Linked DNA regions of Notamacropus eugenii. The protein of the gene in region 2 purifies or fractionates together with the protein of the main gene of each other region. This does not show direct contact. Links are inferred from orthologs where the notes say so. Each region holds a gene or a part of one and is shown on either strand. Other genes may lie near its edges. The genes, in order: KIF22 and KPNA4.

Region 1 (12,484 bases), on a different chromosome or scaffold from region 2:
CTCTGGTATTTATAATGGCTATCTGCAAGTTGCTTCACTGTCCTGCAGCATCTACATCCAGAACTCCTTCCAACACCCTTATCTCCCTGTAACGCTACAGAATGTTAAATGTGTGCTGGATTATGCATGACTGTCTCATATGATTCCTTTGTGTTAGCTCCCACTGGTCAGGAGCTGGGCAACATGGTGTAGCAGGGACTCTGGATTGTGAGTTAGATTTGGGATTGAGTACTGGCTCTGCTTCATATCAGGTCTGTGATATAAAGGAAATCAATTCCTCTCTAGGGACTTCAGTTTCCTTGTCTGTAAAGTGAAGTTTAAGGTGTTTCTAAGGCAATATTCTATTTTTAAACTGATTTAACATCATAGTCATTTCTCAATATGCTCTTCCCTCATCGAATTTTCTCTTATAATACAGAAAAATAGCATAAGCCACCAACAAAATAATCAAGTTTGACAACATGCCACATATTCCATACCCACAACCTCCCACTTCTCTGCAAAGAGGAAAGATGTGTTCTAACATTGTAATCCAAAGCCCATTCCAATTCTAACATTTTATGATTATGAAAACATAAAAATTGTAATCCTTATTGATGACTTAGTAAAATCAAAGATGTCTTCTCTTCAGTGGATAACAATCTTTAAGTAATGAAACAAGAAACATTACAACACTTAGATAACAGAGATGAGAGCTAACAAGAGAAAACATCACCATTACTTGTACCCTCTAGTCTTCAAGTGTACAGTGAAAAGGATCTACAAACACATTTATGGATGATACTTAACACTATCTTCCTAACAGCAGAATTACCAATATATGCAGAATTACCAATATATTACCAATATATGGGACAAATAGTCCCACAGGTTTACCATCCCACATTTCTTACTCTAGCTGAAATGTCTTACATATATGGAATTTTGCAATCAAAAATATACTCATGTCCATCATCTTACTAGATTTTCACTAGATCCTTGTGAGGTAGGCAATGCAAGTATTGTTTGTTTTCCATATTTACAGGAAACAGCCATTAAGTATCAGTCAGGCTCAGCATTTAATGCTCTTTCTACATTGCCTGGGAATTATTAAGAAGGAGTAAAATGGCCTGATATGTCTTTCATATCTTAAAAGATCCCAAGGGGCAGTGGACAAGAGGAAGAATATTGTTTTTATACATCCATTTTGGTCATCTTTGCTTCACCAGTCTCACCTTCCACCTCTTCCCCATCTTGCTTTTCAACTTTGTTTTGTGTATTGTTTTCCCATTTTAGATTATAAGCTCCTTGAGGGCACGGACCTTTTTCTAAATTCATATCCCCAGTGTTTAGCACACAGTAGGCACTTTAAAATATTTATTTGCTATTGATTATTTAACAGACACTGCTGGCCATGCATTGCTTTAATTTAGGGTAATTCTTCCTTGAAAGATGTAAATTTTCATTGATACAGGTAAATCTAACGCAAATTATAACCATTCCATAACTTAAATGCTCTTTAAGTTTTTGTGATCAAAATAAAATCTATTATCCTGTGACTCTTCTGGAGTTGAGCCTCCCTGAACTTGGCTACACTGGCTGTTGGACGTCATATTTCACCCATCACCTTGGCAGGATCTATCAGAGTTTGTATTCCATTGGCATAGCCTTCAAGAACCTAGGACTACTTCCACACTATAATGAGGAATCAGGTTAGGCCCTTAGTGAAGGTTTTATTGAGTGCAGGTGTGGTGTAGTGGGAAAATAACTGATCTGAGAATCAGAAAGACTGGGTTCAAATCTTGACTGACAATAGCTACATGACAAGCACCAATACCTCTTTGAGTTTCAGTCTCCTCATGTGAAAAAAGGGGATCATAACACTTACTCTGTATATGCCATACTGTAAGAGTAAGAAATAAGACACTAATCCTAATTGTGTGAGGAGACAAAAAAGATAGTTTGCCCTCTGGGACTTAGTGCCAAGAAAGATGGTTGGATTGATGGGCTCCTGTGATGAAATCCTTTATTCACTAGGTAATACACACCAAAGAGTTTGATTCAGACTGGCTCCTTTGGGGAATCAGCCAAAAAAAAAGGAAATGTAAACTTAGGCAAATCATTTTCCCTGTTTCACCCTCTGTAAAATATGACCCTTTTATTTTATGGGGTGGTTATTGGAATAAAATGAAAATATGGGACTGGACCTGTGATTTCAATGGTACAGAAAATTCCTCTACCAAAATAGACCTGTACCTTCTCTGCAGCTTCATAGCTAGTAATGTAAGGTTTTTAAGTACTTTACTTACTCATCTCATTTGGTCATCACAACAGTCTGGTGAAGTATGTGCTATTATCATCCTCAGTTTATAAATGAAAAAAACTAAGAAGTGGCAGAAGCAAGATCTGAACTCTAGTTTTGAAATCCATTGCTCTATTCACTATACCTGTAGCTGCCTCATGGCTAAACTTTCTATTTTGTAGACTCCTAGAGCATTGACAGATTAAGTCAGTTGCTCATCGTTACATAGCTGGTAGTTCTATGGGTGAAACTTTGAACTTAGGTTTTCCCAGCTCTGTAGATGGCTCTCTGTTTACTCCGCTAAGCTGCCCCATTGTGAACAAAATAGAAAATAAAGGGCGGGAAAAAGCTAATCAATCAAGAAGTATTTATTAATGTAATTGTTAATTGACCCCAAGTATTTATTGGAGAAAAAAAATTGTTGGTCCTCCTTGCCCATAACTTATACTCACCTCCCTATCTTTATTTTCTTCCCTTTCCAGAACCCAAACAACTAGTACTCCCAACACCCTTTCTCCCAGGATCTAAGAAAGTAAAGATTATAATCCCAAAGTCTTCCCTCTGAACCCTATCAAGAGGGGTCACAGAGAGAGGTCTTGGATTTAGTTCTGTCTTGAAGATCTTAAATGAAGAATGAAAAGAGAAGGGAAGAGGAATACATTAGCAGGGTGAGAGGATGGAAGGGAAAGGAAGATCAGGGAAAATTATCTCACATAATCAGGGCGCACAAAGAGAAGTCTACACAAGCAAGAAAGAAAGGGTTGAGGAAGCAGCTGACACTTGAACCTCATTTTTATCTAAACTGTTCAAAGGGAAGCATCGTTACACACACAGATACAAGTGGGCACAGAAGTACATACACACAACAAAATAGGAGGGGAAAGGGAGAAAAAGAAGGGTAGAATAAGGAAGGGATTAGTCCTAAGCAAAACAAACTCTTAGTAGGTATGTAAAAAAAAATACAATCCTTTGTGGTGGTAAAGAAGTGGAAAACTATGGTCCTTTTCAACTGTGGAATGGATGGAAAAATGATGGTATAAAAATGTGATGGAAATCTATTGTGCTTTAAGAAATGATGAAAGGGGTGGTTTCAGAGAAACCTGGACTCTGATGCTGAGTGAAATCTATACAAGCAAGTAAATTTATATAAGGAAGACAGACACTTTTGAAAGACTTAAGAAATGTGATCACCATAATGACTAATCATCATTCCAGAACTCACTATGAAACATGCTACTTGCCTTTTGATAGAAATGAAGGACTCAGGATGCAGGATGACACATATTTTCTTCTGGACATTGTCAATGTCAGGTTTTTTCTGTTTTGTTTTGAAGAGATACGGGAAACCTTAGAGATTAAGAGCCTGGACTGTAAGCTCAGCCTCCTGACATCTAATTAGTTCAGTGTCCTTTTCATTATACTACAGGTCTCTCTAAAGGTACAAGTCTAGTTTTTAGAGTCAATAAGCATATGTAAGCCTGACATATAGTAAGCACTTAATAAATGCTTGTCTACTGACAAAAGAATAAATAGAACCTGAGAGAATATAATTAAATGCTAACTTGTAGGATATGGCCCATAAATGTTACAGGTGATCAGCAGAAACCATCAGAGAGTGATCAGAAGAAATGGAATGTTTAAGGAAAGCACTGGTCCCTAATGAAAAGGTCTGCATGTCTATGGTAGGGAGTCAAGCTAGGAGACAGTACCTTACCAATCAGGAGTTTGTAAGAGGAACAAAGAATCCCAGCTGTCACTCTATCTGTGCCTGGCAACTCATTTAAATGTCTCTGAGTCTCAAATCCTCATCTCTAAAATGAAGAGGGTTGTTTCACATGCCTTCTAAGGCCCTTTCCAGCTTACTTTATCATCCTGTGATCCTAAGAGTAATCCTCTAAAGTGTCATATCTATGACAACTTAAAACGCTTAAACTTAAAACTTAAAAATGGGCTATTTTGCTTTGTGCATAGAGACAATATAAATTATCTGGTTTTCATTCAATGATTGTTAGTACTCCCTGTATTGAATATCTTCAACTTATCCTGCATATACCTTTGTTTGTACATAGTTGTTTTCATGTGGTCTTGATGGGGAACAAGCTCAAACCAAGACCTTTTCCCTTTGGATGGGAAGAGCTTTGTCACATTTGTCTGAAGGGCCCTGGGCAGTCTGGCCTTGGGGGACAGGGAGCTCCTTGGATTCCCCTTCCATTTCTCTCAGGTCAGATACTCTCTTAGGCAGATAACAGATAATAAATAGATAATCTTCTATTTAGCATTCTTTCCATATTTCTCTCTTTGATCCTATTACCAGCCACTCCAATCAGAATCCTCCCTGGGTTTGATCTTTCAAGACCATCCCTGGGACCCCAGACTACCTGGCCACACCTGGATGCTTCCCTCAGTCTTTTTCTGTATTTAAGTTCCATCTTGCCTCCATGAAGGCGCTCAGACTCTGTCTAGCTGAGATTCTATCTGGCCCGCTAGTGAATACAAACGTTATAAATGCTTATAAAGGCTCCTTAACAGTCAACCCAAAATGGCGAATCTTTAATAAACTTTGTTTTTGGGGGCCTTAAGAAGGCTAGTGTCGAATTCATTCGAGCAGGACCCGGTGTCTGTATTTCGGGGTCCCCCAGCGCCCCTCAGACCTCAACAGTCTCCCCTATTAAAAGTGAGCTCTGTGAGAGCAGGGGCTGTCACCGGCCTCTCCTGACTTACAGGTGTCTGGTTTGTCACTGAGTCCTCTTCCTCCCCATCTGTCCCACGTCAGAGCTTCCATTAGTCTTCAACTCCACTCTCATTTCTAGCTCTGGTCTAGTCCGGGATTCCCAACTCCTGAACCCCGCTTCCCTTTGGGGAGATACGGGGCTCCCTCCTTCAAGTCTCAGACCCGCGAAGGGAGGCATTAACAACCCATTCCACACTTCTCTCTCCCCACCCTGGGGGAAGGAGGGCAGAGAAAGGATCCGGGGGCGCCGGAAGGAACGCGCACGGCGTCTTCTGCGCCTGCGCCTGCACCGCGGGACCGACCCCACCTCCCTTCTCCCCATCCCCCACCCCGCGCGCCCGGGAAACCTCCAAGGGATAACCCAGAGAAGCGAGCCCCTGCTGAGGCAGCGTGGGCCATCCTCGGCCCGCAGCTGCCCCGAGCGCCCCTACCTGCAGCCGCAGCTGCCACCGCCATCTCTCGGGCTTCTGCTTCGCCGGCCGCCCCCAACCCAACTCCTCTTCCACAGAGCTGGTTCCTTTCGGCATTCGAATTCCCCGGCGGCTCCGCCTCCTCCGGTCCTTTCGACCAATGGCGAGCGTCAGGCCGGTTGAGGCGCCGGAAGGGGTGGGGTCGTCCCCAGCCGCCCTCCCCCCCCCGCCCCCGGCGGAGCCCTTTCCGACAGGGCTGCAGTTGTGGCGTCTGCGCAGGTGTGCGCCCCTGCACTCCTCCCGTCCTCGAGTCCGGGCGAGCTCCTAGGGGGCGGGCTTCGAGGCAGCCCCGCCCGTCCGCTCCCGACGGGGGCTCTTCCGGCCCCGGAGCCAGCTTTGGGCCCGGGCCCTCTTCCCTGCTCGCTGTGCTTTCTCCAGGGCCTCTGCCGCCGTCCTCCGCTCCGGCCGCCCCGTAGGCCTCTCAGGCTGGCCGCCCCGCGGACCTCCCAAGTTCCGCAGATCCAGAGCGGGGTCGTTACCTTTTCCTCTCACGCTTCTCTCTCTTCCGGACGCCCCCATCCTCGCCGTCCTCCAGCCCCAAACCTAGGCGTCCTCCTCGCTCTCCCCTCCCCCCTCCCCCCTCTCCCCTCCCCCAGGCAATCCCATGCGGAGTCCTGGGATTTCCACCTCGGTAACGTAACCTCTCCGTGGCCCAGCCCCTCCTCCCCTTCGACCCTGCCCCCACCCTGAAGCCCACCCTCAGCTTCTCCGCGCTTTTAGGGTCCGCTGGCTCAGCTCCGGTCTGGCGGACTGTCCACTCTCCTGTCATTCGGTCCAAGATCCAATGTAAAATGCGCCGGCATCTCAAAGCCTTCCTTCGTTCTTGTTACACCTTACTCTTTCTCCTTTCCCCTCCACCCGCGACGATCCAGTGACGCCGGCCCCTTTTCTGTGGCTCTCCATCTCCTGACTTCATGCGTTTTTATTGGCTGTCTGTCCCCATGCCGGGATCCTCTCCACCGTCTCCACCTCCTTCTGGCTTCCTACAAGAAGCTCTTCCCCCGTCTTCTTCAGTGCTAGCAGTGCCTTCCCTCCGTTAATTACCTCCCGTTTATCCTGTCTGCATCTTGTTTGTACTCAGTTACTTGCACGTGGTCTCCCGGGTTAGCCTGGGAGCTCTTGGACAGTAAGGACTGTGTTTTGGCTTTTCTGTACGTGCCCAACACCTTAGTACAGCACCTGGCACGTAGTAGGTACTTAGTAAATAACGATAAAAATAATTTCTAGGATTTATATGGCATTTTGAGGTTGGCAAAGCCTTGGCAAATATCTCCTTTTATCTTCACAACAATCCTGAGAGGTAAGTGCTATTGTTATCACCCCCATTCTACAGAGAAGGAAACTGAGGCAGGCAGAGGTTAAATGACGTACTAGGAAGGGACCAGGGCTGGATTTGAGCTTAGGTCTCCCTGACTCCAGGCACGGTGCTCTATCCACTGTGCTTTCTATTCCTGTCTAGGCCTGGGTAAAGTGGTTTTAGATTATTGTGCATCAGTGAATAGGTAAGCTACCCAGGACATGCATGCTAGGACACTGGTGAAGAGAGAGCTCTGTTCTAAACCACTCCCTGGGACCGGGCACAACGGAAGTCGTAACTTAAGGAGAGCATGACTGCAGCTCCACATCTTAGAGTAACATCAAGGGAGCTGAGGACATTACTAATTAGTAATGGGTGGGAGCACCTTGCTGGCTCTCATCATTCTTGCTCGTAGGGAAGTGGATTGATGTTTCTAAGTTCAGATTTGTCAAGAGCCACCACTCCACAGGATTTAGTGTTACCAGCAGAGCATTATCTTGGCTAGCAGGAAGTTCCTTCTCCCTACAATGGCACATTCACTGAGTTGATTTGTTGAACCAAAAACGAAACCAAAGGTTTCTGCTCTTCCAAGTCAGTGCCAAGGTCACCAAGCACGCTAGAGACAGAGCCACAATTGGACCTGAATTCTTTTGATTCCCAAGTCAGTGTTTTTTTAACCATTATACCATACTTCATTATTAGAAATTTAATAAACTTAATTCATACAGCAATTTTGAAACTTACAAAATAATTTTCTCCAAACTCTATGAGGTAGGTTGTATAAATATAATTTGCATAATTTTATAGTGGAGGAAAGCGAAACTGAGAGAGCAACTTGCCTCTCGTCAATCATATTGCTAGTGAATGCTTGTTTTCTGACTAAATGGTAGTCAGGATTCATAATATTTGTAGCTAGAAAGGTCCTTAAAGATCATCCAGTTCCGTGATTCTCAAACTTTTTTGTCTCAAGATCCCTTTACATTCTTAATTGTTGAGGACCTAGCAAGGAATTGCAAATTAAGGGGATGCTCATCAATTGGGGACTGGGTGAACAAGCTGTGAATCCTGTTGTGCTACAGGAAATGATGAGCAGGATGCTCCCAGAAAAACCTGGAAAGACGTTCACGAACTGAGGCAAAGTGAAATGAGCAGAGTCAGGATAATATTTTATACAGTAACAGCAACATTGTGTGATGATCAACTATGAATGACTTACTTCTTCTTAGGGATAAAATGATACAATTCTGAAGGACTTAGGATGAAAAATGCTATCCATCTCCAGAGAACAAACTGACAATCTGAATCCATATTGAAGCATACGTTTTCCTTATTTCTTTATTTTTCTTGTATTTTCTCTTTTCTTTCACAACATGACTGACATGGAAATATGTTTTGCATGTTTTGACTGCACATGTACAACATGTATCAAATTGCTTGCCTTCTCAATGTGGGGGCAGGGGAGAGGGAGAGAGAAAGTTTGGAACTCAGAAATTAAGAAAAAAGTGTGTTAAAATTATTTTCACATGTAAATTGGGGAAAAATAAAATATTAAAAAATTATTTAGGACCTCACAGAGCTCTTGTTTATCCTGATGAATATCTGGTCACTGGATTCAGAAGGCTCTGGAGGAGAAGTGAGGCTAGTGACCTGCACAGCCCTCACTCACTCAAAACAAAGTCAACTGCAAGTCATGTCATCATTTCTCTGATGGCATAGTCTTCTTCGGTAAGGAAGGACAAACACAATTCTGTGAGTACATGCAGCTGGCTGAATGGGAACCCAGCTAGCTGGGTAACTCAGCTCCTCTTCTCCTGTCTGCCTCTCCCCCCTCCCCCCTTCCTTCTCCTCTCCAAAGGAAGGTAAATTTGGATGGCCAAAAGATGCCCAGTTGACTTGGGTTTTACTGGCTAGTTTCCTTTCGTTTCGTTTCCTTACCTGTCCTGTCCTGTCCTGTCCTTTCCCTAAACCTCAAACCTACTGCACTCTGAAGGTGGGATGCCAATGGGCCCCTGCCTTAAGGCTCTTCTGGACCCTCCTAGCTTTAGAGTGATTATCAATAGTAACTGTTGCTGTTTCCCTCCCAGGCTGATGTCTTTCTTTTTCTTGACCTCATTAAAGGGGCCTTGGCTACTTCTTAAACTGGCCTATTCAATGAATGGGTGTTGCCTCATCCTAAGTGAGTACCTGCAAAGAGCATCTGGGATCATCTCCAGTTATCCTGATGAATATCTGGTCACTGTATTCAGAGGGCTCTGGAGAGGTGAAGCTGGTGACCTTGTACAGGCCTCCCTCACTCAAAACAAAGTCAAGTGCAAGTCTTGTCATCATTTCTCAGATGGCATGGTCTTCTTCCACAACAAATGATGAACACAATATGGTTATTTCTAACTGATATTTACCATATTAGAAATTAAAATATCTTACCATTGTAATGAACATAATTGTGACTTCAAGGACCCCCTAAAAGAGTTTCAGGGGGCCACCAGAGGTCTCCTGATCACACTTGGAGAACCACTGATTGTCCAACCTCCTTATTTTCCAGATGTAAAAACAGGCTCAGAGAGACTTAGTAAGTTACCCAGGATCCTCCAGGAGGCAAGATGCAGTAGAGTTGGCACTTTAGGCTCAGCAGTTTTTTCCCTACAACCACACTGGAAGTTGGGAACAGGAGCATAACTGGTGAAACGGACCAATTTTAAAATCACTATTTTTACATCTGGCTTTAAGGTTAACAAAGCACTTTCCATCTGATCCTCACAACAACCCATAAGACTCCCTGGGTTGTGTGGTTTGATGTAGACGTAAGGCAACAGAAAGTCAGGGTCTCATTGTGCTAATTATGTAGCAAGAGGATGTAAGAGTGGCATTATCTACAGGTGGCACTCTACTGGAGCCACCAACCCAGCTTTCTCAGTTTCTTGGGCAGGATAGCCAGCCTAAGAACCTGCAATAGCCTGCCTGGCCAGTAGGTGGACTACAGCCTTCAAACACCTGGGCTGCTCAATCCTTTCACCCCCCTCCCCTTCCCAGGAAAGTTCATGCTATAGCAGGGCTCGGATTTTGTTCAGCAGTTTGGATTAACTTCTCATTGGCTGGTCCAATATTAATCTAGGGAATGAAATGGAAAGTTGCTCCAAATGTTGAAAAACCAAAATCTGACACCTATATCTAGCTCCTAATCCCTACCGGGGTTTTTCTTGTTGTTTAGTCATGACCCATTTGGGGTTTTCCTTGGCAAAGATACTGGAGTGGGTTATCATTTATTTCTCATTTTTGGGATGAGGAAACTGAGTTAAGTGATGTGCCCAGGGTCATACAGCTACGAAGTATCTGAGGTCAGATTTGAACTCAGATCTATCTCAACTCAGGACCCAGTGCTCTATCCACTGAGCCATCTAGGTTCCCCCCTCTCAACGTATTGCATACTGCACCCATAGATTTAGAGACAACATGTTGTGATCTTATAGCTTATTATTCATAATAGAGTAAACTGAAAAAGAAGCTAGATAACATACTTCTGAATGGTAGCATCCTTTTCCTGACAGTTCCCAAAATGTCTCCCAGTTGTTCTTCCAGATATTTGAATGTGGCTCAGAGAAATCCTGACCACAGTAGCCTGTGGCCCAAAAGAAAGGAATGAGGGAAAGGAGAGTCTGAGTCCTGTCTCAGGGATCAGAGATCAGAGATAGGGGAAAATCAGTGAAGACAGTGAGTGAAATCAGCCCAATGGGATTCATAATAACTGATAGTTTCTGCTCCTCTGGATCTTTTCTCTCGTTATGGCTTCCAGCTCTTTTCTCTGCTTCTGATCAGGAGGTTTTCAGATGTACTGGCCTACAGTCACTTTAGTTTCTTGACATTGTGCCTGCTGCCTGGTACTTGTTGTGGTCTGCACCTATTTGCCCTCTCCCCTCTCACTCATGGAAGCCTGCAACGATAAGGTCAGGGGAAGGAAGATAGGAAGTAAACCCCACAGTGTGCATATCACTATATATATATGTCCTCATGCAATCCTATGTCTTTCTATTCTAGAACATAGCCAATGCAGAACACTGCCCTGACCTCTGTGGCAGCCTCAATTCTGATAGTGTGTTTCACAAATGCTGTTTTGTTTCTCTCCCTTTGTAAAAAATTCTTGGACTGCAGAGTCTCCACAGAGGTAAGAAACAGTGCAAAAGCATTGGGGACATAAAAGTTAAATGTGTTCTTGCTCATTTGGTCAGAGGGAAGAGTTTCTGATAGTGGCCTTTTCCAGGCCAGGACATGGGAGGATCTGGGGCCATAGTGGAGTTTCAAGAATTCTTGCAGAAATAATCATAAGCTTCCCTATATATTGCAAGAGAGAAGTGCAGGGATAGTGTTCCTGAACCCCAATTTTTTAGGCAGTATGATCTTTTAATCTAGCTTTCTAGTTGACAAGGGAGATTTCTTGAGTATCACCAGTCTTGGAAGTTGCCTCCAAAGTATTCCCAGATTCAAGAACTGCAAAGCAGATCCTCTAGAAAGAAAAAGGATTTTGCAGAAAGGGATCTTGTGGGAGAAAGAACAGAAACATCTACATGGCCCTATATACAGAGAGCTGCTAGTATAGAAGACCTATATGTTATTGCCCATTTTAATACCAAGTTTTGGAAATATTTTGGGAATATTTCTCTTAGTGAGAAAGGAATTGTCTGCCCAGAAATCGCAAAGTGTGTTTGCCTTCCAGAAAGAGTCCAAATCAAAGGGTGGTACTATATGTACGAAAGGGACTGCTTAACTCTCTGGAATTCTTTGGACTGCCTGATGGTAGCAAGTTCATTTTCCTTTGGAAGAGCTTCTAGGCTACTATGAATACTAACTGCATTTTCTATGTCTATTTACAGACTCCTGTGAGACTTTTGTATTTCTTTGGAATAAAATACTGTCTTGTATCAGACATGCATTTATTACCTCGAATGTTTATATCATACCTAGGGAATTTATCTGCATCTGTGGAAATCTAGACATATGTTATATTTAAGCTACATATGGTGACTCAGAGAAAATCTGGAGAGGGGTATAGGAGCCAAAAGAGAAAATTGCTTTTAGGGGCCAGACTCTAAGATTAGACCTGGTCTTTGTGAGCCTGAAACTTGGAGATCCCCAAGTCATGGGTTACAAAATCATGCTGTCATCCTTCTCTTCTTGTGTCAGGGGTTATCCTCAGTCATCCTCCTCTTCTGGGGTCAAGATAACTTCTGGACTAGGAGTGATCTTAGGGTCAGAGCCCCAGTTCTGGGAAGGATAATCATAGACACTTAAAATGTTAGAGCCATAAGGAACTGTTGAGATAATCAGGGCTTATCTCCCTATCTCACCTGTGAGGAAACTGAGGCCTCTCAGAAACTGAGGAACTTGCCCAAGATCACAGATTTAGTATCAGAGCTGGTACCAGAACGTTGACTTCCTGTTCAGTGCTCCTTCTAAGTCACATTGCTGTCAAGATTTAGGGTTCAGAACAAATGAGAGAATAAGGTCAGGAGCCTATTAGGGAAGTCACACAGACTTGAGGGAAAACAGGCTGTTGTACATGGCAGCAAGGGTAGACTGAAAAGTCCTTATAGTAGTTGGTAATTTGTGTAGCACAAGGCAGTTTATAAAGGCCTTTACATACCCTAACTCATTAAAGCCTTTCCACAGCTCTGAGACACTACAATGAGCAGTGTTTGTTGCAGAAGAACACC
Region 2 (12,682 bases):
GATATTGGAAGTACTCTCTTGGAAAACACGTGCCCAACAGTTGGTGGGCAGGCAAGCAGATTATCTTTGTATATGAGGTTAGGTAGCCCAGTTAATTTTTTCTAGCAGTTTCATTTATGTATTCTTTGTTTTGCTAACTAGACTGTAAGATTATTGTCAAACGGGAAAAAAGCATCACTGGGGCCAAGGGCAGAAGCAGTGGGCATGATCAGCATACTGCTTAAACACCAAACATGTTCACACACATCATCATCCTTGCAGCTTCACAAAATTCCCAAGATTGGGGGGTGGGGAATATGATTATATCCGTTAGTATCACAGTCAAGTGACACAACTGAGGTGATGGAACTAGTAAGTGGGCTAGCAGGTATTCCAAATCCAACCTATTTCTGCAGTACCACTAAAGGGAATGCAGGCGTTTGGTGGTAGAGAGAGGTGCTGCTGAGAAAGGTTTACTGATCTACAATGGCTATAGAGAGGAGCATCTCAAATAACCATGACTTACCCAAAGCTACAAGAACCAGTAGCAAAGTTAACCAGAAGAAAATCAAAGATATGCAGGTCATTTAAAACAATTTATATTTCTGATTGCCTTTCTCTACAAGTTTAGCATTTCAGCAACTCTGGGCCTGGCAGTCAGCCCCAGCACTCAGTGCTTGGGCTTGTATCTTCCCATAGGGCTGGATGCCATCTGCGACTGCTGATAGCCCTGTACCTCCAGCTGAGGGAAATGAAGGGAGGGCGTGGTCAAGTGGTCACCAGAGCTTGGAGAAGAATCAGTGATGAGATGATTCTGAAGAGACTAAATTAGAGCTTAGAGCCAGCCCATTGCCTTCTCGGTTTACATTCAAGGATATGGAGGTCCAGAGGAGTTAAGTGACTGGCATGAATTAACAAAGAGAGCAGGAGAATTAGGATCTGAACCTAGGTACTGATTCCAAACCTCATGCCCCTTCCACTAAAATACTAGTGAACCCACAGCAAGCACTCCTTTAATGGAAATTTTTATATTTACATAGGACTACAAATGCTGTTTTGGGGTAGGACTGGGACTAGAATATTACTCAACAAGTTTTATCCTCCAGCCTAGTAGGAGTTAAAGGCACGTAGCTGTCAAATTCTAGTCTCTCCTGCATTGTCTTCATCTTGGTAGCTGGGTAGCAGAGTGGGCAAAGCACTGAATCTGGATTTGGGAAGATATGAATTCAAATCCAGCCTCAAACACTTACTGACTATGTGATGCTGGGCATGTCATTTAAACTGTTCGCCTCAGTTTCCTTCTGTAAAATGAGGATAATAATGTACCTCCCACCCAGGTTATGAGGATCAAAAGAGATAATACTTGTAAAGTGCATTTCAAACCTTTAAGGGCTATGTAAATAGTAGCTATGGTTATTAATAAATATCACTGCCATCTCCTGCCACACTCTCCCACTGCTGCTGCTGTTGTAATGTCCTGTTTGGAACTCTTCCCCTGGAGTTAAGCTGTCCTGACAAGTGAGACCCCAATTCTATCCAGCCTGCTCCTGACACTTGGCTTAGCTTCTCCCTGACTATTTTTCTGTTGGACTGCCCTGTGGGCACCTCCTCCTGCTCAAAATACTACCACCACTGCTGCTTTCAGAAACAGCACGTCAAAAGACTGCCCTAGCTCTGACTCTATTTACCAACCCTGGGACTATTCAGACCAAAAGGCCTTCTTTAGCCATCACTCCCTATTAGAAGAGAAACTCTTGGAGGGCAGGGAAGGTTTCCATTTCATATCTATATCCCTAGCATTTAGCATAGTGCCTGGCAAACAGTAAAGTGCTTTTATTTTTTTATTCATAAACATGGTGGAGGAAGAAAAAAGGAAAATATGGCATTACCTGGAATAACTTAGAAGCTGTTTAATTCAATCCCACCAACATATTCATTGTATATGAGACTTCCTCTGAATTAATTAGGATACCAGTGAGCTACCATCCCACAAACAATTGGATAGTGGATAAGAAAAGCTCTCACCTTTAAAAACGTAATGACTATGTCTCTGAATGCTACAAAGTATGTATCTTTGAATGCTTCCTGAAGAGGTAACCCATTCAACTCAATGCAATGATCATTTCCTAAGTGCCTATCATGTATAAGGCTCTGAGTCAGGTATTAAGAATACAAATTTCAATCCTTAGGTGGAGGAAATCAAGAGGGAAAGTGCTTGCTACATCTAGCGGAGCTGAGGAAAGGCTTCTTGCAGAAGTAGGCCAGGAAGTCAGGAGGTGGAGCTGAGGAAAAAGAGACATGGGGGATAGTCAGTCAAAATGCAGAGCTGGACAAAGACGTGCTGGAGTGACTCGTGCAGAGAGCAGCAAGACCTCTGTCACTGGATTGCGGAGTATGAGGAGAGAAGCAAAGGTAAGAAGATCAGAAAGGAAGGGCTTTACAAGCACAACAGAGGATTGTATATTTGCTCTTGAAGGTAACTGTGAGCTTCTGGAGTTTACTGGGTAAGGAAGTGACCCGGTCACATCTGAGTTTTAGGAAGATTAATCACTCTGATACCTAAATGGAGGATGAACTAGAGAGAAGAGACACCTGAGGCACGGAGATCAATTAAAAGATTACTGAAATACTCTAGGCATGAGGTGATGAGAGAATACAGCAGAATCACAGTGTCAAAGGAGGGAAGCAAATGAGACCCTAGAAAAGGAGAAAAAGCAGGACCAGGCAACAAATTAGATGGGAGGAAGGGGGGAAGCAGTCATGGTTCATGTCTGGGTGAGCTCTGACAGGAAGAGGGAAGTCAGGAGGGGGCAAGGAGGGTTCAGTTTTAGGAATGTTAAGTTGAAGATGTCTACTGGATACATAAACCCAGAGTTCCAAGAGACAGTTGGAGATGGGAGACTCTCTAGCCAGATAAGGCTAGGGTTGGACAGGGATGACAACAGACACCATGGGAAGTGACTGAGAAGAGGGCCCAGAGTTAGTGGGCATGACCTATATGAAGATCCACGGAATGGAACAGTCAAATAGGAGAACTAAGAGAGGAGAGTGATTAGGGGTGCCAAAGGTCAGGAAAGGTGAGGAGGATGAGGACTGAGAAAAGGTGGGTAGGATCCTGATAGTTCAAGTTAGAGGCAGAGTTGTGCTTTAGGACTATTAGCTTGGCAGTGTGGTGAATGAAGGACAGATTGGAGAGGAGGGGGATATTAGATAAGGAGGAGGCTATTATTAAACTAGTCTAGTCATTAAACACTTGACAAGTATTTATGAACTACATATTGTGATCCTGTGAAAAGGCTGGATTCAGAGTCTGAGAAGCTGGGTTCAAATCCTAGCTCTGCCAATTATTATGTTACCCTAGATAAATCATCTCCCCTCTATGTACCTTAGTTTCCTCATCTCTAAAAAGAGAGGGTTAGACCCCCATGAGCTAAGGGAGCCCAGCCATCTCTAAATCTATTCCTCACATGCAAGGTATGAGGGATACCAGTCTTGGCCCTCAAATAACTTACAATCCATTGGAAGGAAAAAAACCATACACAAAGTCAATACAAAATAGATACAAAACTCAAGGTCACTAAAAGCTGGAAGGATCAGTGAAAGCTTTGAAAGGAAGTGGCCTAAGCAAAGGTTTGAAAAAGGATAAGGACTCTAAATGGTAGTGGTGAGAAGGGAGTGAATGCGAGGCATTGGGGGACAGCCTGTGCAAAAGGTATGGAGGCAGGAAATGCCCCTCCATCTTGGGGAAATATCAAGTGGGTCAGTTTGGCTACAGGAGAGAAATGAGCAACAAGCCTGGGAAATGAGAGCCAAAATGTAAAAGGCTTTAAAAGTCAGGAGTTTGACTTTTATTTTAAAGGTAAGAGGAAGACACCAGTGTGTATTATGAATATTAATTTGGCAGGTACACGGAGGATAGACTTGTGAGGGAAAAGCCTGGATAAGGCAGCTGTTACACTATAGTCCAGGAAAACAGTGGTAAGGGCCTACCAAATGAGCTTAATTGAGAAAAAAAATGAGGATTTCACTAACTCAGACAATATTGACTCAGATTATCTGAGATTATCCTCATGTTTCGAAATTATAAAGTACTGATGCAAAGTATAAACTACTAAACCAAATTTAATCTTTGGTTCTAGGAATTTTAACTGGAGACTTTTGGGGTGGGAGTAATTTAGGAAAGGATACATAGAAACTTGCATCTATCTACCTGAGAACCTTGAAAGCTTTCTTTTTCTTTAAATGAGAACTAAATCCAATATACTTAAAGGAAGTTAGGTGGTACAGAAGCTAGAAAGGCAGACATGGAATCAAGTGATCAGCTTGGGGATCCTATGCAAGTCATTTAAACTTTGTGTGTCTCCATTTTCCTTAATGAAAATAGCAGCAACTGCCTCCCAGAACTAGTGAGGATCAAATGAGATAACATGTGGAAAGTACTTCACACAGGGCCTGGCACACAGTAAGTGCTATAGAAATGCTTACTCTCTTCTTTCTCAATAAAAAAATGGGCACAAAGAATACTATAACTACAGGGACTTTCTAAGTACAGTGTAGTGCCCACTTTTATTAATAGTCATACAAACTCAACTACTATCTCAGGTAAGGTTATGAAAATAACATCCTTGCAAATACAGCTACAGACTGCATTACAAACCTCTAACAAGTGCTAGCCCTATTTTTCAACCCTAGCATTATAAACTTCCACTGTGTTTCTTAAAACCACTAGCTATTGTAATTGTAACCTTCCCCTCTTCATACAAAATACAAGAAGAGAGGTAAAAAAAACCAGGAAGGCCAAGTTTACATTTCTGATTGCAACGAAAAGAGCAAAAATGCCACTCTGCCACAGCGGCTGACTTCTTGGGGTGGTAGCAGCTTACAAGTGTGAGGAAGTCAGCCTGGGGTAAAATCAAATTCCCTCATGAGATTTAAAGGACACAAATAACAGATTTCCATTGTACAAGTATTAAGCCAAATAAATCTAAGTAAAACTTCTTTTAGGGAACTAGCAAAGGAATGCTTAGAAATTTAAGAACTATCAGTGATAACCAACTGGTCAATTACCATTGTCCAAAGTGAGGTAGAGAATGATTGTTTCCTCATTGTAACAACAGCCAGATTAGGCACATGTTGCTTTAGGGCAAATAGTAAAAAAAAAATAAAAATAAAAAATTAAGGATTCACTTATAATATGATTTGTCAAAGTGTAACTTAAAATGAAGACACAAGAGTTTTGTTAGCTGACATGAGACTTAATTTTGTACTAAAAATGAACGATGAAGAAAAGAGAAAGCTGGAGTTCACATGAAACAAAGTATCCCTAAGCCCTGTCAGCAGAGAATGTTTACTGTATTTACATGCATAGTATCTTACTTACCAGGTAGTGGGGAAACTAAACTAGAGCTTATGCTAGAGAAGCTTTTACATTGTCGGGAAACAAAATAAATGCAGGTGTGGTCAAATAACGCTAAATATTACAAATACAAATAGAGCTATATTCTCATTCTCTCTCTCCTGTCCCCTAGGTGACAGGTTTTCACTTGAGTCCTACAGATAAGGAAGCAGACACAAACAAGTCCCACCAATGTGCTACTACCTAAGGTAAAACCTGTTAAAACGTAAAGATGGGAGGGATTATCATTACAAAAGGGCACATTCATCTGACTGGAACCGCAGAGATAAAAGGAGGTATGAACACAGTGGAAAAACTATGAAGAGAGGAAGCTTGAGCTTCCAGTCCCCCTTGGAAACCTTGGCAGCCCCAGTGCTGTGGAGCAGTCACTTAATCACTAACCACCAAGGCCCAGGCCAATTTTTGAAAGCAAGTTGCAGAAAGAAGGTACTGGCTTGCACTGGTTTAGTTTCTTCCCCCAGCAGTTCTCTAAACCACTGAAATCATAGGTACAGTCTTCACCCTACTTAAATTTTGGGTCCCAATATAAAGATTATTTTAAATGACAAGCTGAGATGCCAAGGCCAATCATGAACAACCCATCTACGACTTAGTAGCTAAGTCCCAGGGAAAACAGCATCATAGATGTAGAGCTGAAGACCCACCGGACACCATCAAGTCCAACACCATCATTTTATAAGTGAAGAGACTTGACCAATGTCATACCAGGCAGTAAAAGCAGGAACTGAATCCAGATCTTCTGACTCCAAACCAACACACTGTCCATTTTGTCCCTCCAATGATGGCTCCTTGAGGCATGCAGAGATTAAGTGACTTGCCTAATAGGATTTCATAGAAGATATCTGAACCCAGGTCCTCCTTACTCCAAGCCTCGGATTTTATCTCCCCATATCTCTTCTGTTATATTTAACCTGCAAATGAGTGTTTTGAACTGTATATTCTCATGTGTAGAAAGCACAAACAATATACACCAACCTTTCTACAAGATGAAAATACTGCTCCCAGTAACCTTATACACTTTTTCTCACTTTTAATAAATGACTAAGGCCCATGTCAGTGACTAATGCTTAAAAAAAAAAAGGCTGAAAGTTGCTTTAGTATTTTACTATTTAGCCTGTAATTATCACTATACCTCTTCTCACTACTTTGGAGCACTTATTAAAAGAGATTAGTACACATGAAAACTAGCTTTTAAAAATTTCATTTAAGGAAAATGAGTAACATCTTCATGTTTGTAAGTGTAACTGTTCTGAAACTCATGTTGTTAACATGAATTACAGGTAAAGTAAAAGATTAATTCATGGGAAGTACAGAAAGTTAATTCTCAACTATATTTTTATCAACTAGAATTAAACATTAGCAATACTCAGTCAGATGACATTTTCTAACCAAAGATGTATAAATATTTTATGCTGGCTACAAGCTTGATCTATAGTTTTAAAAAATAATCACATACAGCAATTATTTAAGTATTGAACATATGTTTTAAGATTTGTGATGAGAGGTTAGTCTCTAAAATTTAACAAGACCTAGCAGCTTAACAATTACTCTATACTGAATTTAGTGACAGGTCACACCCACTCAGACTGTGCCTATACAACAAAATTTCTAGTCACCTCAGTTTAAGAAGCTCTAGGCCCTTTTCATAATTTAAACAGATGACTTCAAATATTCATAGTAACTTAGCTTAAAAAATTATCTGTTATGTGGTCATGGCCATAATTAGGGAGGAAAGACTTAAAAAATTTAACACTAGAATTTTTAAAAGGTCATAGAAAATATTACAACATTTTATATTTTGAGTAAATTGTTGTTTTAGGCCCTGCTTTTTGTAAAAGAAACCCAATCAGTTTCAAATCATATTTAAGTCTTTAAATTTTGCAGACACGTGACATCCATGATGTCATTTAAGCCTTACAACAACCTTGTAAGGTGAGTCCTAGAGATATTGTTATCCCTTGTTTACAAATAAAAGAAACTAAGACCCAGAAAGGTGAAGTGACTTGCTCATGGTCACACAGCCAGTGAGCATCAGGGGCTGGATTACAACCCAGATCTGGCAGACTCCACTTCCAACACTCTTCCCAATTTATCAAGCTTCACATTTATTTGTTCTTCAGTTTATTTGAATTTTTCTATTGTCAAGTACTATTTAAGTAAAAATGTATGAAAAAATTTTTTAAAAATAAATTCCTACAAGAAAATTCTACCATATGTTATAAGAATAAATCAGGTAAGTTTTCAGTTTAAACTACATTTCCCTAGGAAAGTTGTTCTAGAAGCCTGGACACTCTCCACTTCCTCTGTTGCCTTGTGTCCCTCTCTATGGTTACTGTCTGCAACTGAACAGTGATACTATCACACTAAAAAAAAAAGTAAAATATGTTTTGGTTCTGTTACCTGAAGTTCTCTGAAAATTATTCTGAATAGGGTGGGGGTGGGGGAAGAGGAGGAGTGTTAGGGATCAAAGGTAAGAGAAGGGGGAGCTTACAGATACTACCAGTTAACACAAACTGAAAACTAGGGAGTTCAGACAAATCATTAGGTTGTACTTAAAATGTCCTTTAACTTTTAGTAATTGGAAAATGAGTATTTTTTGGTCCATTTCCAGGGATTCAATGTAACTTAGGAACTGTAACACAGAAAAACAATGAAGCAAACTAGCCGACCACTTTGAATCTTATTAAATACTTCATTATTTACTAAATGAATTTATTAAAAAAATATTTTGGGGCTCCTTCCAAACTCCATGATGAATTTTGAAAGTGAGGAAATGTCATGAGGATTACAAGGTATCCTAACACTAACCTTCACAGCATTCAAGAAGCAGAGGTCAGGTTCCTCCAGCCTTATAGATGAAAATACTACAGGCTAAGCCATTTGCCAAGGTGTAAAACACAGACTTCCGAGAAGAGAATAAAACCTGAGGATTCTTGACTTCATTCACTACATATTACTAATGAAATGTTGAAAAAATTCAGTTATATGCTTCCTATATTACATATTTCTTTTCTAAGTTCCTGGAATATAGGCAATGGAGTGATCATGGTAGCTTTTCCACCTAACCATAAAAACTAACTTCCCCGGTTTTTCTCAAACGACCCATAAACCATACTTTATTTAAAAAAAACTTGCGGTGCCTGTCAAGACTTTATTGAAAAGACGTATATAACAAGAGGCACACAAGATACATCTCTGTATGAATGCTGGGGTGGGGAAGCAAGGATCCCTGCTTAGACCGCGCACACTAGCACAAGGCAGGCCTGGATTCCCACCTACGGTCTATTACCGGTCTTCTGCGGCTTTGAGTAAGTCACATCTACTTCGTATGAAAGCTCAATCTGATGGACCAAAAATGAGAATGGGGCTTGGTGGCCACAGGTGCATCCCTTCATATCCTCTCGTATGGAAAGAGAAAACATTCCTTTCCAAACTACAGTACAGGAAAATCATGCTTACCCGGATGCCTTTAAGTCTCGAATCTGTTTAACGTACAACTAGAACAGTGCTAGGGAGATTCAACCCTATTAGGACTTGTCTCAATAACAGAATTTTTCCATCGCCCAATGACTTTCAAAAATACTTCCAATCCTTCAGCTAACACTTTACCCGCCCTCCCCACCCACTGAACTGGGACCCTCACTCCAGCGGACCCCCTCTAGAACCCCCTACAGTCAAGTTGGAAGTTGGGAAAACTCTGGGAGGAGGAGGCCGGCCACTTTCGCCGCACGGAACTCCAATCGAACGGCCCAACGACGCCGGGCCCCGAGGTCCGGGGGAGCGCGCAGGGGGCACCTCCCGGGCTCCCACGCGTGGGCCCCGGCGCTGACAGCTGCGCTCCTGGCCCTCGGGCTGTTAGAGGGCGGGCCGGGGGGCCGGCGACCCCGAGGCCGAGGCCCGGCTGCGGCCCCGCGCTCCACGCGGCGCTCCCGGCTCCCTCCCGCCCGCGCCGGGCAACGAAAGCGGCGGCTCGGGGCGGGGCGGGGGCCTAGGCCGGGCCTCCCTCCGGCGGCGGCGGCCGCGGCGCAGGCCCCAACTTCCAGGCACGTTAGCGGAGGCGTCACGAGCGGGCCCGCCCCCCGCGCCACCCGCCGCCGGCCCGGCCCGGCCCGAGCAGCCCCGGCCCCGACCCGGCCCCGACCCGGCCCGGCCCGCGGTGCGCACGCGCACTCACACTCGCACACTCACCTCACACTCACGCTTGCACACGCCCGCCCGGAGGCTCCCCTCACGCCGGCCCGGCCCCGGCCCCGGCCCCGGCCCGCGCTGCCGCCCGGCCTCCCCTCGGGCCCGGCGGCGCGGCGCTCACCTCCAGGTCGCGGCCTTTGTTCTTGAAATTCTTGAGCCGTTGGTTGTCCAGTTTCTCGTTGTCCGCCATGGCCGGGCCGGCGCCTGCTTCCCCCGCCCGAGCCCCGCGGGATCCGCCCCAACCCCCGCGCCGCCCCTCCCAGGGCCGCCTCAGCTGCCGCCCTCGCCGCCGCCGCTCGTCGCCGCTCGCCGCCACCCGCCGCCGCCCGCCGCTCCAGCCGAGAGAACCCGTGCGGTGCCGGGCAACGGCGGCCGAACGTGTGCGCGGCTGCGGCTGCGCCGGCTGGGGCTCCCGCTGCCGCCGCCGCCGCTGCTGCCGCTACTGCCGCCGCCGCTCCCGCTGCTGCTGCTGCTGCCTGCCGGCGGAGAGGGGGAGGCTGCCTCGATCTGAGGGCCCCGGCGCCGCGGCCACGCCCCCCGCGCCAGAGCTGCGCGCTCATTGGGCGGCCGGGCCCGGGCGTCGGGCGAATCAGCGACGCCGAGGGAGGCGGAGGGGCGGGAAGGAGGGAGCGGGGCAGGGGAAGCCAAGGGCGGGGCCGGCCCAGGAGGGGAGGGGAGGCGGTCGGCCGGAGCGGCGCGGGAAAGGGAAGGGCGGGGGAGGGGAGAAGGGGGCGGGAGTCTTCGCCCGCGACTGCCTCTTTCACTTTCTTTACTCTCGGCCGGGCTTTCCCTGGCTCCGAGATGGCGCGCTGTGCCCTCGCTCGGCGTCCTCCCCGGGGAGCCCCCCTCTCTTCTCTCCCCCCTTTCCTCCATCTTCCCGCTCTTTATCTTTCTCTTGCTGGCGCTCCTGCGCTCCCAGGGAGCGGAGCCGAGCCCCCGGGCCTGCTGGATTCTCCCCGCGCCCAGCCGCCCAGCACGGGAGCAGGCCGGGGCGGCCCACCTGGCGCGCCTCGCTGGGCCGGGCCTTGTAGGCTTTGTAGAGGCCCCGGCCTCCAGCCTCCCCCGCCCTGTCTTACAGGCGGAACGGCCCGGGGGGCCCCCCGAGATCCGGGGGCTTGCCCAGCCCGGCCGGCAGCCGCCTCCGGGACGCCAGCCCCTGAGCGTGTGGGGGTCCGACGGGAGGGCCTCTGACAGAGCAGGCCGGGATCCGTGCGGGGCGGCCGGAGGCGACGCCCGGGACCGGGCGGTAACACAGTATCCGCGGTGAGGAGCGGGAGGAGGTCCACGGCGTCGACGAGTCCCCGCGGAGCGTCGGACTTGAGTGGGGGTGGGGAGGAGGTGCGGACAGGGGAGCGCACCGTTACCGCGGCGTGCCGGCTGCTGCGCCCAGCGCCCGCCGGCCTCCTTGGGAAGTTACCATGATAGCAGATACTCCGGATTCCTCCCCGCCATCAGAGCAGAGGCGCCAGGGAAGGGGCGGGACCCTAGGCTTGAGGGGTAAGCCGGTGCCCAGGCTGGGGGGTAAGCCGGTGCCCAGGCTGGGGGGTAAGCCGGTGCCCAGGCTGGGGGGGTTAAGCCGGTGCCCAGGCTGGGGGGTAAGCCGGTGCCCAGGCTGGGGGGTAAGCCGGTGCCCAGGCTGGGGGGTAAGCCGGTGCCCAGGCTGGGGGGGTTAAGCCGGTGCCCAGGCTGGGGGGTAAGCCGGTGCCCAGCCTGGGGGGGTTAAGCCGGTGCCCAGGCTTGGGGGGGGCGGACTCTTGGGGGAAGTTTCTGCTACGGGGGCAAAAGCCTTCCATTCCCGCTGAGAGCCACGAAACCCTCGCCAAGTGTAGATCGGGTAAGACCAGGAGTCCAAGGTCTGCCCCCCGACGGGAATATTGCGGGGCTAAAAGGGGCAGCATGTAAACCGCTTCGCAGACCTCCAAGGATTATTGTCCATGACGGATATCTGACCGAAGAGGATACTAAAACACCGGGCACCGGAGCTCAGGAAGAGTCACAGAAGGGAGAAAAGAATGAGAAGAAGGACCCCAGCCCTCGAGTAAGACCAGCTCTCCCCAGCCAGAGCTGGATAAGGACACATTTTTTACGTTCTCCCACAGATGTGTATAACTACTACGAATGATTTAGAAAAATTCCTTTTATTTTTAAAAACAGGAACTTTATTCTAAAGGAATTTCATCCTAGAAGACTCATGAAGTAAAGCATGATCGTACCATGTATACGAACTGAAGATGAGAAAGCGATAGAGAGACAAGGAGTTGTTTACTAAAATTTCTCTAGGGTGAAGACCAAGCAGGACCCAAATAACCACATTACCAGAAAAGCCCCACCCTGTCATTGGACATCATCTTGCCAAGAGGCATCTTATAAACCCTGGTCCACATGAGCATCCAGGCAGTTCTTGGAGCCAATCCCAGCTGGAGTTTCATGGTTGTGGGGGCTTCTCACTCTCCGGATGGACCCTTCTGAAGGAATGACCTTGGGCTTCTGGGAATAGCTTTCCACTGGGAAGTCCCGTCCCTGACCTGTCTGGAATGTTTAGGAGGAGTTGTACCTTTCATTTTTTGTTTTTTACTAAGAGAATGTCAGCCATCAGAATGCCATATCAGGAAGAGCTGTGGTTTTAGAGGGAGAGAGAGAGGGCCAAAGTTCAAAGTCTGCCTCTGATATTACCTGTAGGACCTTGGGCAGGACATTGATCCTGCCTGGGATTCAGATGAGGTCTTGTATTCCCTAGCCTCTAGAATCACTTTCAGTCATCTGATTTCCATAACTGGGGACAAAGCCTTTCATTCCACAGTTAGAGATAAGACCCATTAAACCATCGCTAAGTGTAGATTGGCATCAAATTGGGTAAGACTTGGAATCAGGAAAAACTGAGTTCAAATACTCCCCCAGACATCCATGGTGTACCTCATATGTTTGATGGGGATGATAATATGATGTCCACCTGTTGAGTTTGGAGGGTCTTCTCAGTTGTTAGCACCTTTCTCCCTTATGGCTACCTTGCATCTACTCTGTATTTGAGAGAGAGGAAGAGGGGGAGGGGGGGAGAGAGAGAGAGAGAGAGAAAGAGACATAGATGGTAGTGGGAGATAG

The links.
Region 1: the proteins of KPNA4 (region 2) and KIF22 purify together in Homo sapiens (affinity purification with mass spectrometry; 3 studies listed by BioGRID and IntAct, counting the BioPlex papers as one, with this or other methods). This does not show direct contact. The link is inferred for Notamacropus eugenii from reciprocal best matches to the Homo sapiens genes KPNA4 and KIF22.

The regions. Positions count from the first base shown.
Region 1 is NC_092872.1:47,021,768-47,034,251, forward strand, and holds the start of KIF22 (kinesin-like protein KIF22), read right to left. Parts: upstream 6,359-12,484; 5' UTR 6,252-6,358; coding exon 6,180-6,251; intron 5,573-6,179; coding exon 5,444-5,572; intron 5,268-5,443; exon of another isoform or gene 5,064-5,267; coding exon of another isoform or gene 5,003-5,063; intron 4,515-5,002; exon of another isoform or gene 4,361-4,514; coding exon of another isoform or gene 4,335-4,360; intron 3,629-4,334; coding exon 3,523-3,628; intron 1-3,522. UniProt on the Homo sapiens protein: Kinesin family member that is involved in spindle formation and the movements of chromosomes during mitosis and meiosis. Binds to microtubules and to DNA. Plays a role in congression of laterally attached chromosomes in NDC80-depleted cells.
Region 2 is NC_092877.1:364,765,491-364,778,172, reverse strand, and holds the start of KPNA4 (importin subunit alpha-3), read right to left. Parts: upstream 6,277-12,682; 5' UTR 6,194-6,276; coding exon 6,101-6,193; intron 1-6,100. UniProt on the Homo sapiens protein: Functions in nuclear protein import as an adapter protein for nuclear receptor KPNB1. Binds specifically and directly to substrates containing either a simple or bipartite NLS motif.